Notamacropus eugenii: one gene and its partner. The protein of the gene in region 1 interacts with the protein of each later gene in a pairwise test. Links are inferred from orthologs where the notes say so. Each region holds a gene or a part of one and is shown on either strand. Other genes may lie near its edges.

Region 1 (7,380 bases):
ATAACTTGGGCAATTCCCTTAACCTCTCAGGGTCTCAGTTTCCTCATTTATAAAATGAGGGTGTTGGATTAGAGGGTCATCTTCAAGGTCACTTCCAGGTCTAGATCTATAATCCTATATTATCCTGCTTTCCACTTCAAATCAATTGGTAAAACTGTAGTATTTTAATAAATTGGCTGGTGACAATCAACATGATATAGTAGAATCTAGATCGGGGTGCCTTGAAGCTTCACTTGTTCTGTGAAGTTTGGATTCAAAGGGCTGCACTTCCGGACCTATAAGGCCCAAAGTGGCCTCGAGGCTGAAGGTTTCCCACTCCTGAAGAGTCATTAGGTCTGGATTTAGATGTTCTAGTTCAGTAATTACTAGTTATGTTGATCTTACATATGTCATTTCCCTTTTTGAGACTTAGTTTTCTCATCTATTACTGGTACTTCTTTACCTTACAGCTGTTGTCAGGACAGCATCTGTAAACCATAGAAATGTGAGTTATTATTAACTGGCTAATAAAGTGTGAGGAAAGCAAAATGGAAAAAGTAGATTTTTATTTGAGGGTTCTTTTGCTAAATAATTTCTTTCAAATAATATTCAATAACTGTTGCCACCAAACAAAATTTATTAGGGATCTTCTGGTTCCTTCATTTTTCCACCCCCTCCACCTATTGGCAGGGAGAAGGGAAAGGTTTACTTAGGAGTTTTTAAAACAGTAGCTAACTGTGGTCAGCCCTTCCCCAAGCAAAGTGGAATATGGATTGGAGGACAAACCACTCCAAAATTCATCTCTTACACTTGCCAAAAAGCCAGAAAACAAAAACAAAAAACAAGATGAAAGGTCAGCTTAACCTAAGTCCCTAAACCAATCTCAAAAGATAAACAGACCAGCCATATGCCTGACTTTATCAAACCATGACACAAACCAACAGAAGGTACAACCCATGCCATTAATTTGAGTTCAAATGTTGATCCTTCTCAAAGGGACTGATTTAAACTTGTTTTTTTCCTGAACTTAAACACTAAATAAAACAAACATTTCCATTCTACAACATAACAGAAAAATAGGATTATGTATAAAACTGCAAATTTCTATTATATACAGAGGCTGTTTTCCTTTTAAGCTGTAATAAAGTGAACACATAACTTTCAAATCTGTCTTGTCTGTTTTCCTCCTGACTTTCCTTCTGTTCTTCAGAACAACACTCCCATACTGGCTTTGTCTAAAAATTTATGGTTCATTCTGCACCTTCAATCCATCATATAGGGGCTAATTTGGCAACAGGATCAGGGATAGGAGAGAAAAGGGATAGAAACAAGAAGCCACCAGAATATTACTTCCTTAAGGAGGAAAAGCAGCTTCTTTGGCCTTGAATGGCCACAAGAGAGATGTTAGGTAGAAAAACCCAAAGTCTTTTGATTTGATTTTAGAATGCCATCATTGGCTCAAAGTAAGAAGAGACTCTAGTAGGGATTTTATCATTCCATCCCCCTTGCCAGCACCCTTGACTGGTGGTCACTCAGCCTCTGGCTTGGACTCAAAGTGAAGGGGAACTCAAAATAAAAAAAAAAAAGCTGCATGCCCTAAGTATATGCCAATGACTATTTGGAATTGAGAAAGTATAGTGGAAGGGAGAAAACATGTTTGGCTGTGTGGAGAACTCATGGAGAGGTGGTGGAGAGGCACCAAGTATGAGTGTTTTTGAAGAAGTATTGGATTGTGTGTGTGTGTGTTTTCCTGGTCTCCAGTAAGGAAAGAGTAGGAAGACAGTAAGAGATGGTGTGACAAAGTGTAACGAGAGCTGATTTAGAGTTGGAGGACATGGGTTTGAAACCACTTCACTGCTGGGCCACCACTTCCTCATCTAAATGAGAGTTTGAAGTGACCACCTCTAAACCTCCTTCCAGCTGTAAATCTATGATTCTGTTCCCACTTCATGTGAGCGTGTGTGAGGATTTAGGGGAACGTGCGGAGGGGCAGCGCACTGGGTGTGGGACAGTCTGGCCGTTTCAGGCATTGCTCACTGTGAGAAGGGGAGGGCAGCAGGCCCGCCATACAAGTTTCCTAACTGAAGTAGTCAGTCACCTAGTGTTTAACAGATACTACGTGCCAGGTACTGCGCTAAGCCCTAAGAATACAAAGAAAGGGGACAAGGAGCTCAGTCTAGGGAGGGAGAGACAACACCCCACACGTAGAGGATAAATTGGGGAGTCTCGCAAGGCAAGCCCCGAGACGAAAAAGGGCTTGGGAAAAGCTTCTTACAGACAGCTCAGACTTGAGGGGGCCAGCGGGAGCCAAGAGGGAGAGCACGCGGAGGGTGCCCGCAGGCGGGGGAGAGGGGCAGGGGGCGCCCAGGCCCGGGCCCGAGGAAGGCTGGTGTGTGGCAGCCTGTGGGCAGACGCGGAGCGCCGGGAGGAGGGTGTTCGTAAGCGCGTCGCAGCCCTGTGTGCCGGGGACCCAGCGGTACAGGGTGTTGTGGGGGAGGGTCTCGGTCCCGGGTAAGCAGCGTGTCTGGAGGGGGGGGGTCAGACCAGGCTGCACCCGCTCCGCACCAAGGAGTCAGGGTACGTGAATGCGTGTATGTGCCCGGTGCCCGGGGGAGCGGGTCTCCGGGCCGGGACGGTACCTGGTCGCCGGTGCCCAGGCCTCGGTAGTCGTGGGTGATGAGCTCCCAGTGCAGAAAGCAGACAAGCGCGTCCTGGGGGCAGGTGATCCCCGGCGCTGCCGAGGCGTACAGCAACTCCAGGCCGGCCATGACTTCCTGCCGGCCAGCCGCCAGTCTACACAAATCCCAAGTCAGCCCCGCATCCCGGTCCAACGGCCCGGCCTCCCAGGGGGCCCCGCCTCCGCGGCCGAAGGGAAACGACGCGCAGACTGCGCAGGCCTGGGCTCCCGCAACCAAGGGACCGGAAGGAAACTCGGTGCAGCCTCCTCGGGTTCCGGAGCCGGAAAGGAACCCTCTCCTGGGTGTTACGGTCCGGCACGCGCATGCGCGCGCGCACGCGCTGGTATCTGGGCCGCGGCCCCCCGAGGGCAGGCGGGAAAGGGATGGCGGTGTGGCGGTGGGAGCGGCCGGCGCGTGGCGCGCGTCTCCTTAGGTCCCGATGGAGGGCTCTCCAGACGTCTCGAGCTTGTGTTTCCCAGGAGGGAATTGGAGAGGAGGGGACGGGAGAGCGTGAGCTCTGACCGCCGCTGTAAGCCGATCCAGACTAGCCCAGACTGAGGTTTTGATTGAGGGGGGATCCAGGCAGATGCCGACGACTCAGGGTTAGTTACGTCGTGAAACCAATACAGTGGAAGTCAGGGGCGATGTCCCCTTTTATCTCTCCCATTTCCCCTTCCGGTCTACCGAGGAAACAGTTTTCTCAGGGAATCCCTAGCTACTATGTCAGTTATAAATGGTCCGGACCTACTGACTCCCAGGAATGACTCCTCAGGCCTCAAAGAGACCTGAAGGCACTTAAGGACAGTAGATTCTGAAGGCTTGGTGTTCTATCAAATAGAGAGAGGGAGGGAGGGAGGGGGAGAGAAAGGGAGAGAGGAGAAAGAGCGAGAAAGAGGAGTGAGAGAGAATGAGGGAAAGAGTGAAAGAGGAGAGAGAGAGGGAGAGAGAGACAGAGAGAGAAAGAGGGAAAGAGAAGAAAGAGAGAGAGAGAAAGCGAGAAAGAGGAGTGAGAGAGAATGAGAGAAAGAGCGAAAGAGGAGAGAGAGAGGGAGAGAGAGAAAGAGGGAGAGAGGAAAAAGAGAGAGAGAGAAAGTGAGAAAGAGGAGTGAGAGAGAATGAGGGAAAGAGTGAAAGAGGGGAGAGAGAGAGGGAGAGTGAGACAGAGAGAGAAAGAGGGAGAGAGGAGAAAGAGAGAGAGAGAAAGCGAGAAAGAGGAGTGAGAGAGAATGAGAGAAAGAGCGAAAGAGGAGAGAGAGAGAGACAGAGAGAGAAAGAGGGAGAGAGGAGAAAGAGAGAGAGAAAGCGAGAAAGAGGAGTGAGAGAGAATGAGAGAAAGAGTGAAAGAGGAGAGAAAGAGAGAGGAGAGAGGGAGAGAGAAAGAAAGAGGGAGAGAGAGGAGAAAGAGGGAGAAAGAAGAGTGAGAGAGAATGAAAGAGTGAAAGAGGAGAGAGAGAGGGAGAGAGAGACAGAGAGAGAAAGAGGGAGAGAGGAGAGAGAAAGCGAGAAAGAGGATTGAGAGAGAATGAGAGAAAGAGCAAAAGAGGAGAGAGAGAGGGAGAGAGAGACAGAAAGAGGGAGAGAGGAGAAAGAGAGAGAGAGAAAGCGAGAAAGAGGAGTGAGAGAGAATGAGAGAAAGAGCGAAAGAGGAGAGAGAGAGGGAGAAAGAGACAGAGAGAGAAAGAGGGAGAGAGGAGAAAGAGAAAGCGAGAAAGAGGAGTGAGAGAGAATGAGAGAAAGAGTGAAAGAGGAGAGAAAGAGAGAGGAGAGAGGGAGAGAGAAAGAAAGAGGGAGAGAGGAGAAAGAGAGAAAGCGAGAAAGAGGAGTGAGAGAGAATGAGAGAAAGAGCAAAAGAGGAGAGAGAGAGGGAGAGAGAGACAGAGAGAGAAAGAGGGAGAGAGGAGAAAGAGAGAGAAAGCGAGAAAGAGGAGTGAGAGAGAATGAGAGAAAGAGTGAAAGAGGAGAGAAAGAGAGGAGAGAGGGAGAGAGAAAGAAAGAGGGAGAGAGAGGAGAAAGAGGGAGAAAGAAGAGTGAGAGAGAATGAAAGTGAAAGAGGAGAGAAAGAGGGAGGGAGTGAGAGAGGAGAAAGTGAGAAAGAGGAGTTGAGAGAGTATGAGAGAGAGGGAGAGTGAGAGTGAGAGAGAGGAGAAAGAGCGAAAAAGAGGAGTGAGAGAGAATGAGAGAAAGAGCGAAAGAGGAGGGAGAGAGAGAGACAGAGAGAGAGAAGAATTGGCAGACTCTTGGGGACAGACCCCTCCTGTAAGAAGGTCTTACAGAGAAATCAGTACATGGGGAAGGAATGAGGGGGAAGGGTGAACATTCAGTCTCTCGGTTAGTAACTCATTCTCATGTCCATTTGATCAGCACATCCTATCTTAGGCATGACTTCTAGAATGCAATTGCCTGGTTTCTGAAAATATACCTTGGGCTTTCTGGGGATGGGCTTGTTTCCAGAGCAGCTTCTCCTAGCAGATCTACTTCTCTGGTTCAATTCACTCACAGAGATTCTTAGATGTTTCTGCTAAAATCTGCCAGTTACAAGATGCAATACAGTTTAGCACAGCCTCTGAAATTTTACTTTTAATTTAACTTGTTACATATCCCATGCTGTTCCTATCTTTATTTAAACCCTGTATCCCATAGATACTGCCCACAACAGACTGCAGGAAAAGTTTTAAAAAGAAATCCGTGAGGATCTGGCTTATAAAATAAGCTCTTCTGGTTAAAGATTTAATATTCACCAATGCAGACATATAAGCTAAGGTTGAGTGCTTTTTAAAATTGCCGTTGACTCCACCACCGTTTAACTTCTTTAGACTAGAGTTCATTTCGTTTATTTTTTACTTCATATTCAATCCTCACAAAGGGAAAAACTTCAGTTTTACTATCTATAACTGCCCTGTGATATAAGTTAGCACATTGTTATGTTGATATGTTTAGGAAATTCAAATGACTGAGCAGAACTACTTGGTTTGTACAGAAGATGAACAGTATAATTGTATATCTAAAATCCTGAACCCAATTTTTAGAATTTGTTATTAGAATGTGCTCGAGGCCTGTATAGCCCATTGAAATAATTTCTATTTTACCTATCTATCTACCTACCTATCTATCTATCATTGCTCTCTCAAAAATTTCCACTCATTTTCCTCTCTAATTAAGTCCCCCCCTCCTTAGGTTAATTTCCTCCTGAAGAGGATGAACAGCACTCTTGGAAAGTAAATGACTTCTGTGCCTACATGCAATGGCTATGCAAATGAATTTACCTAAGAGATACTTATTTTACACCAATTGTAATAAAAACGACTGGGGTGAGATGTGTAAACAAGCTACATAATTAATTCCAAATTGTATATAGAGTACAGTATATGTCAAGTGAGTTGTCTATGTAAAATTTGGTCGGTTAAAACCATGGTTCAAATGAAATAGATATTACACGAATATAGACTACTGCTCTTAACTACCATTAAAACTATGAAGACATATTTAAGGTAGCTCTTATATAGTTTGCTTGCATTTCAGGGAATATTCTGTAGGCAAGTTTATTTCAGGGACCTAACCTGATCCATGATTATATAACTATTAGCAGACAGATAAACCCAAGTACTCTTTAACTTAGTTATTAAGATATGGGAAGGACTATAACTTCAGAATGAATAACTTAGAACTTATATACTTGCATTTTATTACGGTGACTTAGATGTCAGTATTAGTCTATAGATAATAGAATAAGTATTATGTTTATACTTTTACTGCTCTTCTGCCATGATTATAGAAACTTACCATAGAAGGAAAAAAGGACATAGCTATAGTAACGGAAGGTGCTCCCCTAGCTCTGTGTTACTTCCAAGCAAGAGTCATATAGGTGACTTTTTGTATAGACAGTGTGCCACAGCCAGGTCCAGAATTAACCAGGTAGGAAAATTTCTTGTATGGGAAACTAAGTACAAAGGATCTTACCTTAGCCTTCCCAGGGTTACCTATTACCTTCTCTTCCTCTACCCCCACCCCCAAGTTCAGGGACAGATATCCATTGGTAGCAGTTTATAGATGTCATTTCCATTGGGCTACTGACATTATGGAGCATTTGATCAATGATATTTCTTGAGGACTATACCTGGAATCAGACACAGAATAATATTAATTGTGGTCCTACAGGATTTAACCTGAAGCAGCAAAATTTCACTCACTTTACTCAGCATCAGTTCATGTAAGTCTTTCCAGGTTTTTCTGAAATTTGCCTGCTTATCATTTCTTATAGCACAATAGTATTCCATTACATTCATATACCACAGCTTGTTCAGCCGTTCCTCACTTGATGGACATCTCCTCAATTTCCAATTTTTTACCATTGCAAAAGAGCTGCTATTAATATTTTTGTACATGTGGGTCCTTTTCCCTTTTTTATGATCTGTTTGGGATACAAGCCTAGTAGTGGTATTGCTGGATCAAAGGGTATGAACAGTTTTATAGCACTTTGGTCATATTTTCAAATTGTTCTCCAGAATGAGTGTATCAGTTCACAGCTCCACTAACAATATATTAGTGTTCCAATTTTCCTACATCTTCTCCAACACCCATCATTTTCCTTTTTCTGTCATATTAGTCAGTCTTCTAGGAGTGAAGTGGTACGACAGAGTTTTAATTTGCATCTCTCTAATCAATAGTGATTTAGAGCATTTTTCCCTGTGACAATAGATAGCTTTAATTTCTTCACCTGCAAACT
Region 2 (7,010 bases), on another chromosome or scaffold:
TGAAAACGGGACGTCAGAACTGCCAAAATGAAACGGATAAGGAGACAGTTAATACCATGAGCTTTAATCATGCATTCAGAATCACAGCAAACGTGTGGTATGACCGCAGAAAGCAAACCCCAGGGACTGGGAGCTGACAGAAGCCTTGCTCGTATCACTTAGAACTGTATCATTACAGTTATAAAGTGATTCTGATTCTGCCACAGGAAACGTTCAGAAGATTCACATAACTGGTGAAATCATGACGCTAGAGAAGCTGAGGCCACGGGTTCAATCCCTTCACAAAGCAGCTTCCTTTCCTCTGTCTCCAGGAACAACTGCATCTCCAACCTGACCCAGGCATTATTTCCCAGGTGTACACCATTAATCACAAAGGAGGCCTAGTGAGAGTGTGCAAATGCTGCAAATTCATCACCACTGTTACACAAATAGCCCCAAGTACGGGCATCCCAGATGGTGAGTCAGGAGCATCATCTTTAAACAAGAGGGCCAGCAGCCCTCTCTGGGCCCAAAAGCAGGCTCTGTCAGAGTCAAAGAACCCCAATCACAGCTCCATCACAGATGACAAGACCAACACCAACACTGTTGTAAACAATAACTTTTAAAAATTATAAGACGATCCATTAAGCACATTTATGGAGCCTTTGGATGAAGTGGCAACCAACGTCTATGAGGGTTAACTGGGGACTTAAAACATCATTTGTCAGATTCTGCGGAAAGAATTTTCCTTCTTCATAGAACTTCATTTCCTAAATTGCTTAAGAAAACTAGCTTTTGATCTTTCTTTTATTTATTAAATTCCTTCTATTTCAGCAGATTCAGGGGCTAATTTGTATGGCTAGTGATACATATTTTTAAATTGTAAATTTAAATGGCTGGAGATTACTCCTGGTTATCAGAAAACAAGCGACTGCTTCTATCTGCAAAATGCTTCTGTAAACAAAATGCAGAAAACCTGCCAGCTGCTCAAATAACCACGGTGCCAACTTTGGCAGGAATAGGGAAAAACCTCTCCAAAAGAACCAACAAATCAACGGATGCCTTTGGAGGAACGGTTCATCAGAAAAGAGGGGTGCAGAAGAGCACACACCGCAGCAGCGATGTTGTGACACAGCAGAGAACCCGGCCAGACCGCGCTCCCCCCTCCCGGCCCTTCACAGGGACAGCAGGGGGTCCGCGCAGCTCAGCAGGCAGGTGAAGGGGCTTTCCGCCCTCAGGGACTTTGTGCAGTGGGGGAAGGGAGGAGCACAGCTCATGTGTGTAATGTAACCAAGGGGAAAGCACCGACTATGGCAGGAGGTTTTTGTTTTTGCTGTGGAAGGTCTTTGCGGGGATTGTTAACATTGTGTTCACTAAAAACAGAACAGACATTTAAGCTGCAGAAGGGACGTAAAGGCCTAAAGACCCTCCTACATCCCAAAGGCCTTTGCAGGGACTGCAATCAAGTCACATTTTTTTACTATATACTGACTTTACTTACTCTTTTTCTCTCCTCTTTTTGTTACAAGAGGTAACTCTCTGGAAAGGAATTGGGGGAGAGATGGAGGGGGAATCTGGGTCGTGAAAAAAGGGATCGACAAAAACCTAACATAAAAGAGATGGACATGCGGCCACTCAGCCTCGTCCCCACGTGGTTCCACGCAGTCCCACGCACCGCCGCGGGCTCCCGGCGGGGCCGCTATCTCTGGGCAGCACCAGGGCCCTGGCACCTCCTCCGCCTCCGCCTCCCACCCTCCAGACGTGCCTCAACCGCCTTCTCGGCGCATCCCCTTATCAGAGGGGGACACGGGAAGGAGCCTCTGCTTCCAGTTTCCTTTTCCTCGCAGGGACGAGAAGAGGGCAGAAAAGTGAAACCGCCCGGTCTGTTTACAAGCTCAGGCCCGGGGGGGCTGCCCAACTCAGCAGGGGTCCGGACGGGAGCATCTGGGGGCACCGGCGGCAATGGCCACAACTACCACTCCCGCCTGCCCTCGCCGGGCCGGGCACTGCCCTCGCCATTCATTTACTTCTCAGACGGCAGGACCAGGGCTGCACGAGTTCGTCACCCCGGCCACTCCTCGCGGGGCTCCTTCCCATTACTAGGGGGCCCGGGCACGGCTCTTGGCCGGCCCGCTCGGCCACCCCGGCCCCGCACCGGGGCCTCCATCCCGAGGCTCCTCCGTGCGGCGGGCTTGCCTCTACGGCCCCCGGCATCACACAACCTTCGGACCCCGAGGTACGAAGGGGAGCCCCACGTGCCCGGAGGGGCGCACGCGCACTGATACGCACAGCGGGTCGCTCGCCAACACCCCGGGGGGCACAGATACCCGCACGTGGGCCACACGGATGCGAACCCCGGGCACACGCTCAGTGTAGCCTTAGGCCCCGGATGCCAAGTGCAATGCGCTCACACGCACACATTCGGCGGAGGGGTACATTCGGCGGAGGGGTACATCCGCACCCGAGCCCAGGGCCTCCCAGACCACGTCCCCCTTCTCCCCTGCGCCTAGGTAGGAAAGCGCATGCACCCCTTCCTCTCTCGCGGCCCCGCGCACGCGCCCCTTCCTCTCTCTCGCGGCCCCGCGCACGCGCCCCTTCCTCTCTCGCGCGGCCCCGCGCACGCGCCCCTTCCTCTCTCTCGCGGCCCCGCGCATGCGCCCCTCCCTCCCCCTCCCTCCCAGGCGGTAGCTGGCGGCAGCACCTGTAGCCCCAGGCGGGGAGCAGGGCCTGGCGCAGGTGCGCGCGCAGCTCCCCGAGCGTCGGTTCGGCGCCTGGCAGTTCCAGCGGCTCCGTCCGCTTCCGAACGCGGACCCGCAGCTTCATGGCGCCGCGGCTCCTTGTCGCTCCTCGGGCCGCCGCGGGGCCGAGGACAAGGATAGGGACCGGGACGCTGCCGCCGCCGCCTCCTCAGCCGCCTTGTCCACCGCCCGCCTCGGTCCGGGGCACGGGAGCTCCGCCCCGCCCCCGCCCCCTCCCATGAGGGCGCCCCCTGCTGTCGGGCCGCCGACCCCGGGCGCCGGGGGGGAGTGGCGGGGCCGCAGCGGCCGCGGCCCCGAGAGCGCGCGCGCGCGGCCGAGGGACGCCGCTGTGCTGCGTGCGCGCCCTCGAGAGCGGGCGGGAGGGGGAGGAGCGCCGGACACCGGCCCCTACACCTCCGCCGTCTCCTGAGGGCACTGCGCAGGCGCGAGCCTCCCTCGGCCGGTCTCCAGGAGTACCGCTGCTGTGAGCGCAGAGTCTGGGCATCCCGTGGCCCAGCCCGAGTCCCCGCGGGCGTGCCCGAGACGTGGGCATGCAGCCCGCGCCCGGCTGGGGGCAGGTTCCCAAATCCCGCCCCTGACGCCTCCCAAGCCCCGAGTTCAAATCCAGCCCTGCACGAGCCGTGTAGCCTCATGTAAAAAGGGGGCATGAGCACCTCCCCCCAGGGGGGCTGTGAGGAGCAGACGAGATCCGATCGTTAAATACTTACCTAAAGGCTGGCTTATCACTCACCTCTGGCTTTCAGTTTCCTCCTTCGCAAAATCAGGGTGTTGGATTAAATTTATTAAATTAATATTAAATTTTAGTTTCATATTTTAATTTAGCACCATCCAGCGGTAAATCTGACTTAATAAGAAAACCCATTTCCCTTTTTGGACAGTTGTAATGGGGGGGTCAGGAAAGGCCTCTTGAAAAAGGTGCTTTTGAAGGGAGCCCCAAAAATGGGGTGGGGGCTGGGTTAACCTAGAGGAAAAAAGACATGCCAACTTTAATCAATCAACATGAATTTTTTCTTATTTTTCTATTCTGAGCCTATCCACCAGAAAAGAGCATTTCTATACTCATAGCAGGACGACCCCCCAAAAAAGTTCCATGTGAAACCATACACCTACTTTTCTCTTTTTAGAGTACACAGTGTTCCCAGAGTCCAGCCCTTCTGGAAAGCAACTTGGAGCTGTGCCCCTAAACTGCACATACCCTCTGCCCACTGGAATATGGAATATTTCAAAGAAATAGAAGAAAGAGGGAAAGGGCCCGCACGTACAGAAGTGTTCATAGCAGTCTTTTGCATGTTGGCAAAAACTAAGGCTGTGCCCATCAGTAGGGAAATGGCTGGATCAATAGGGCACATCAATGAATAGGACTGGGCTAGATTAGATGATGATGGAAAGGATGGTTTCAGAGAAATTTGTAAACATCCTGGAAATGATGAAGAATGAATAGGATCGGTGGAACAGCTTCTGTAATAACAACTCTGTTGTCACAAGTTTGAAAGACTTGAGGACTCTGATCGTGTCCAGGGGGCTTGGGGTGAAGCTCTTCACTATCTCTTTGTAAAGGGATGAAAGACTCAAGATGCAGAATGAAACCCATGTTGGGATGTGGGAATTTGTTTTGTTTATGCGTGTGTATTATAAGGATTGTGTTTATTTGGGGGGAGAGCTGAGGGAGCTAGTGATAGGGCTCCCCCCAAAAAAGAAAGTCATTGCAACGTTTTTTAAAATGTACAGAAGAGAGGAGAAGGAAGTTCCGAAGGAAACGTAGAAAAGTAGGATAGTTTTGAAAGTAACATATTGGAATGATTACACATGCAAAAAAAAGCTTTCACATATAATCCTTTCTCAAATCTTCATATGCAAAAGTGTTCTTTTTGGGTATTTGCTAAATTCAGAAAAAAAGATAATTTTGTTTAAAAATTGGGGGAGCAAAGTTAAGAATGGTGATCCAATTTTTGTAATAAGATTTCTCTGCATGTTGTCTTGTATCCAGATTAAGGTAAAAACCATTGTAATAAAGTTTCTACCTATAGATGGCAATACCTGCATTGTCCACTTTTCCAGTGCTCTCCTCCTTGCTTCCGCTTAGAAACAAATGCACAGGTGCAGGATCAAGAGGAGAGTGTACTTTGGAGCTATAATAATATGTTACGTTAATATTATTAATTTCCTTATTCTGTTATATTTATGTTTCTGTATTATATAGATTTGTATTATGTTGCATACTTGTATTTTATTATTACATTAATAAATTTAATAAACGTAATGGTAATTAAAAGCATAACATAATAGTAATTAACCAAACTTAATAGTAATAATATTTATATTATTACTTATATCACACGTCCTGTGGGCCAGACACTATATTATCTTATCTGATCCTGCCAACAACCCTAGACAGTAAGTGCTACTATTATCCCCATTTTTCAGTTAAGGAGGAACTAAATTTGGACAGTAGCCAGTGTGGAAGTGGCCAGCGTGGAAATAAGGCACCAGGCCTCGCGTCAACAAAACCTGAGCTCAAATCCAGCCTCAGACGCTTACTGGTTGTGTAACCTTGGAAAAGTCATTTAACTGCTGTCTGCCTCAGTTTCCCCAACTGTAAACTGGGGATAATAACAGCCCCTCCCTCCCAGGGTTGTTGTGGAGCACAGTACCTCTCATTCCCAATCTTGTCCAGGGGCACGCTGCCTCTCATCGTCCATGTCTGAGCCTGCTGAAATCCTAAGTCAGCCACTGCTGCTATAAAAGCCTTCACTGATTCCTCCAATCTTTAGTGATCTCTTCCTTTCTGAGTTTCTCATATAGCTCTGTTTGGACCTTACTTAAAGGCCACCTCATCAAACTCCCTCATTTTACAAATGAGGAAACCAAGGCACAGAGAAATTACTTGCCCATGGTTACGTAGCTGGTGTCTGAGGTCAAATTTGAACTCAGCTCTTCCTTGACTCCAGCGCCAGTACTTTATCCATTATTTCCCACTGCTTCTCCATTCACTTGTCATATAATCCCATATATTATCCTTAATTACAATCTTCCCCTAATGTTGCATCATGACAAGGGCATGACCCTGGGGCCTTGAAGGATCTGCCACTAGAATACAAACACAGGCAGGTTCTAGCAAATGAAAAGATTCTGAGTACAAACCCAGTGATGAATTACATGTCTGTTGTCCAAGTACCAACCTAGAAGATTGGCTCTGGGGTCATAGGATGTGAGTTCAAGTCTCTCTGACAATGTCACCCTAGGAAAGTCACTCCAGCCCTCTGAGCCTTGGATTCCTCATCTATAAAATGAGGGGGTTCAGTGGAATGGCCTCTGGTTCCCGTCCAGTTGATCTAGGATTCTATGACCTCCCTCAGGTTCCTCATCTGTAAAATGATGAGGTTGGATGTGGTCTCTGCAGGCTTTTTTTACTCTGGATCTAGAATCATATAAACATCAGGTTGGTTTACCGAGTGATAAGTTTTCTGACCACAGTCATTCTTCAAAGCCATCTACAGGATCACAGAGGGGATTGTGGGAGAAGAGATCACCCCACAAATGAAATCACCATCTTTGAAGAACAGAAAGAAATAATTTTTCCGCCAAAGGTACTGAAACTGTCCTTGAAAACTGGCTCCAGGGACTGAGGTTAAAGCTATTGGTAAGTGGGGTGCAAAAAGGGGAACTGGGAGACTCCCAGATGCTTTGTTTGGGCCATAGCATGAGCAAGACTGGGAACCCCAGCTTAAGGGCGTCCACACTTTGTCTGGACAAACATCCCTTCTTCCATACTCTGAACATCCTTCGCTGGCTATGGCTAAGTAGGCCTCTTGTTAACTATTAGAGGGATTACAAGTATTTCATGTCACTCCACTTTGGCACTAGGGGACCAGCCCAGTCAGGCCAAGTTTATTTCAAGAAATAAAATGGAAACCTTCACATGCTCCGTGTTATCACTGCTCCACTCATTCCAGTTTCAGAAAGGCCTGATTTGTGCACCACACAAGAGCATCATTCTTAACCCTGAAGGCTGGATGAGCCTTGGGCCTGGCTTTTTTCTTATGGCTTCAGAGCATTTCTCAGAGGACTGAGAGCCACTGTTTGTGACATTATCTGGCTTGTGTGGAGACAAAACAGTCTTTGAGAGCCTCAAAGACCATTCAACCCAACACAAACTTAAAATAGCCTATAAAGAATACCACAAGCTAAAATGGGGGTTTCAGAAGTTGGCCAAGAGCCTTCTGAAGTCTCTTGAAGGACTGAATTCTAAATTAATGTCATAAATTAATGGCT

The links.
Region 2: the proteins of PSMF1 (region 1) and FBXO7 interact in binary tests that used the Homo sapiens proteins (3 or more experiments, as listed by UniProt). The link is inferred for Notamacropus eugenii from reciprocal best matches to the Homo sapiens genes PSMF1 and FBXO7.

The regions. Positions count from the first base shown.
Region 1 is NC_092872.1:432,792,059-432,799,438, reverse strand, and holds the start of PSMF1 (proteasome inhibitor PI31 subunit), read right to left. Parts: upstream 3,037-7,380; 5' UTR 2,748-3,036; coding exon 2,619-2,747; intron 1-2,618. UniProt on the Homo sapiens protein: Plays an important role in control of proteasome function. Inhibits the hydrolysis of protein and peptide substrates by the 20S proteasome. Also inhibits the activation of the proteasome by the proteasome regulatory proteins PA700 and PA28.
Region 2 is NC_092874.1:289,989,618-289,996,627, reverse strand, and holds the start of FBXO7 (F-box only protein 7), read right to left. Parts: upstream 3,003-7,010; 5' UTR 2,803-3,002; coding exon 2,681-2,802; intron 2,216-2,680; coding exon of another isoform or gene 1,599-2,215; exon of another isoform or gene 1,430-1,598; intron 20-1,429; coding exon 1-19. Other genes in the region: uncharacterized protein, read left to right, coding at 1,599-2,215, 3,863-4,097. UniProt on the Homo sapiens protein: Substrate recognition component of a SCF (SKP1-CUL1-F-box protein) E3 ubiquitin-protein ligase complex which mediates the ubiquitination and subsequent proteasomal degradation of target proteins and plays a role in several biological processes such as cell cycle, cell proliferation, or maintenance of chromosome stability.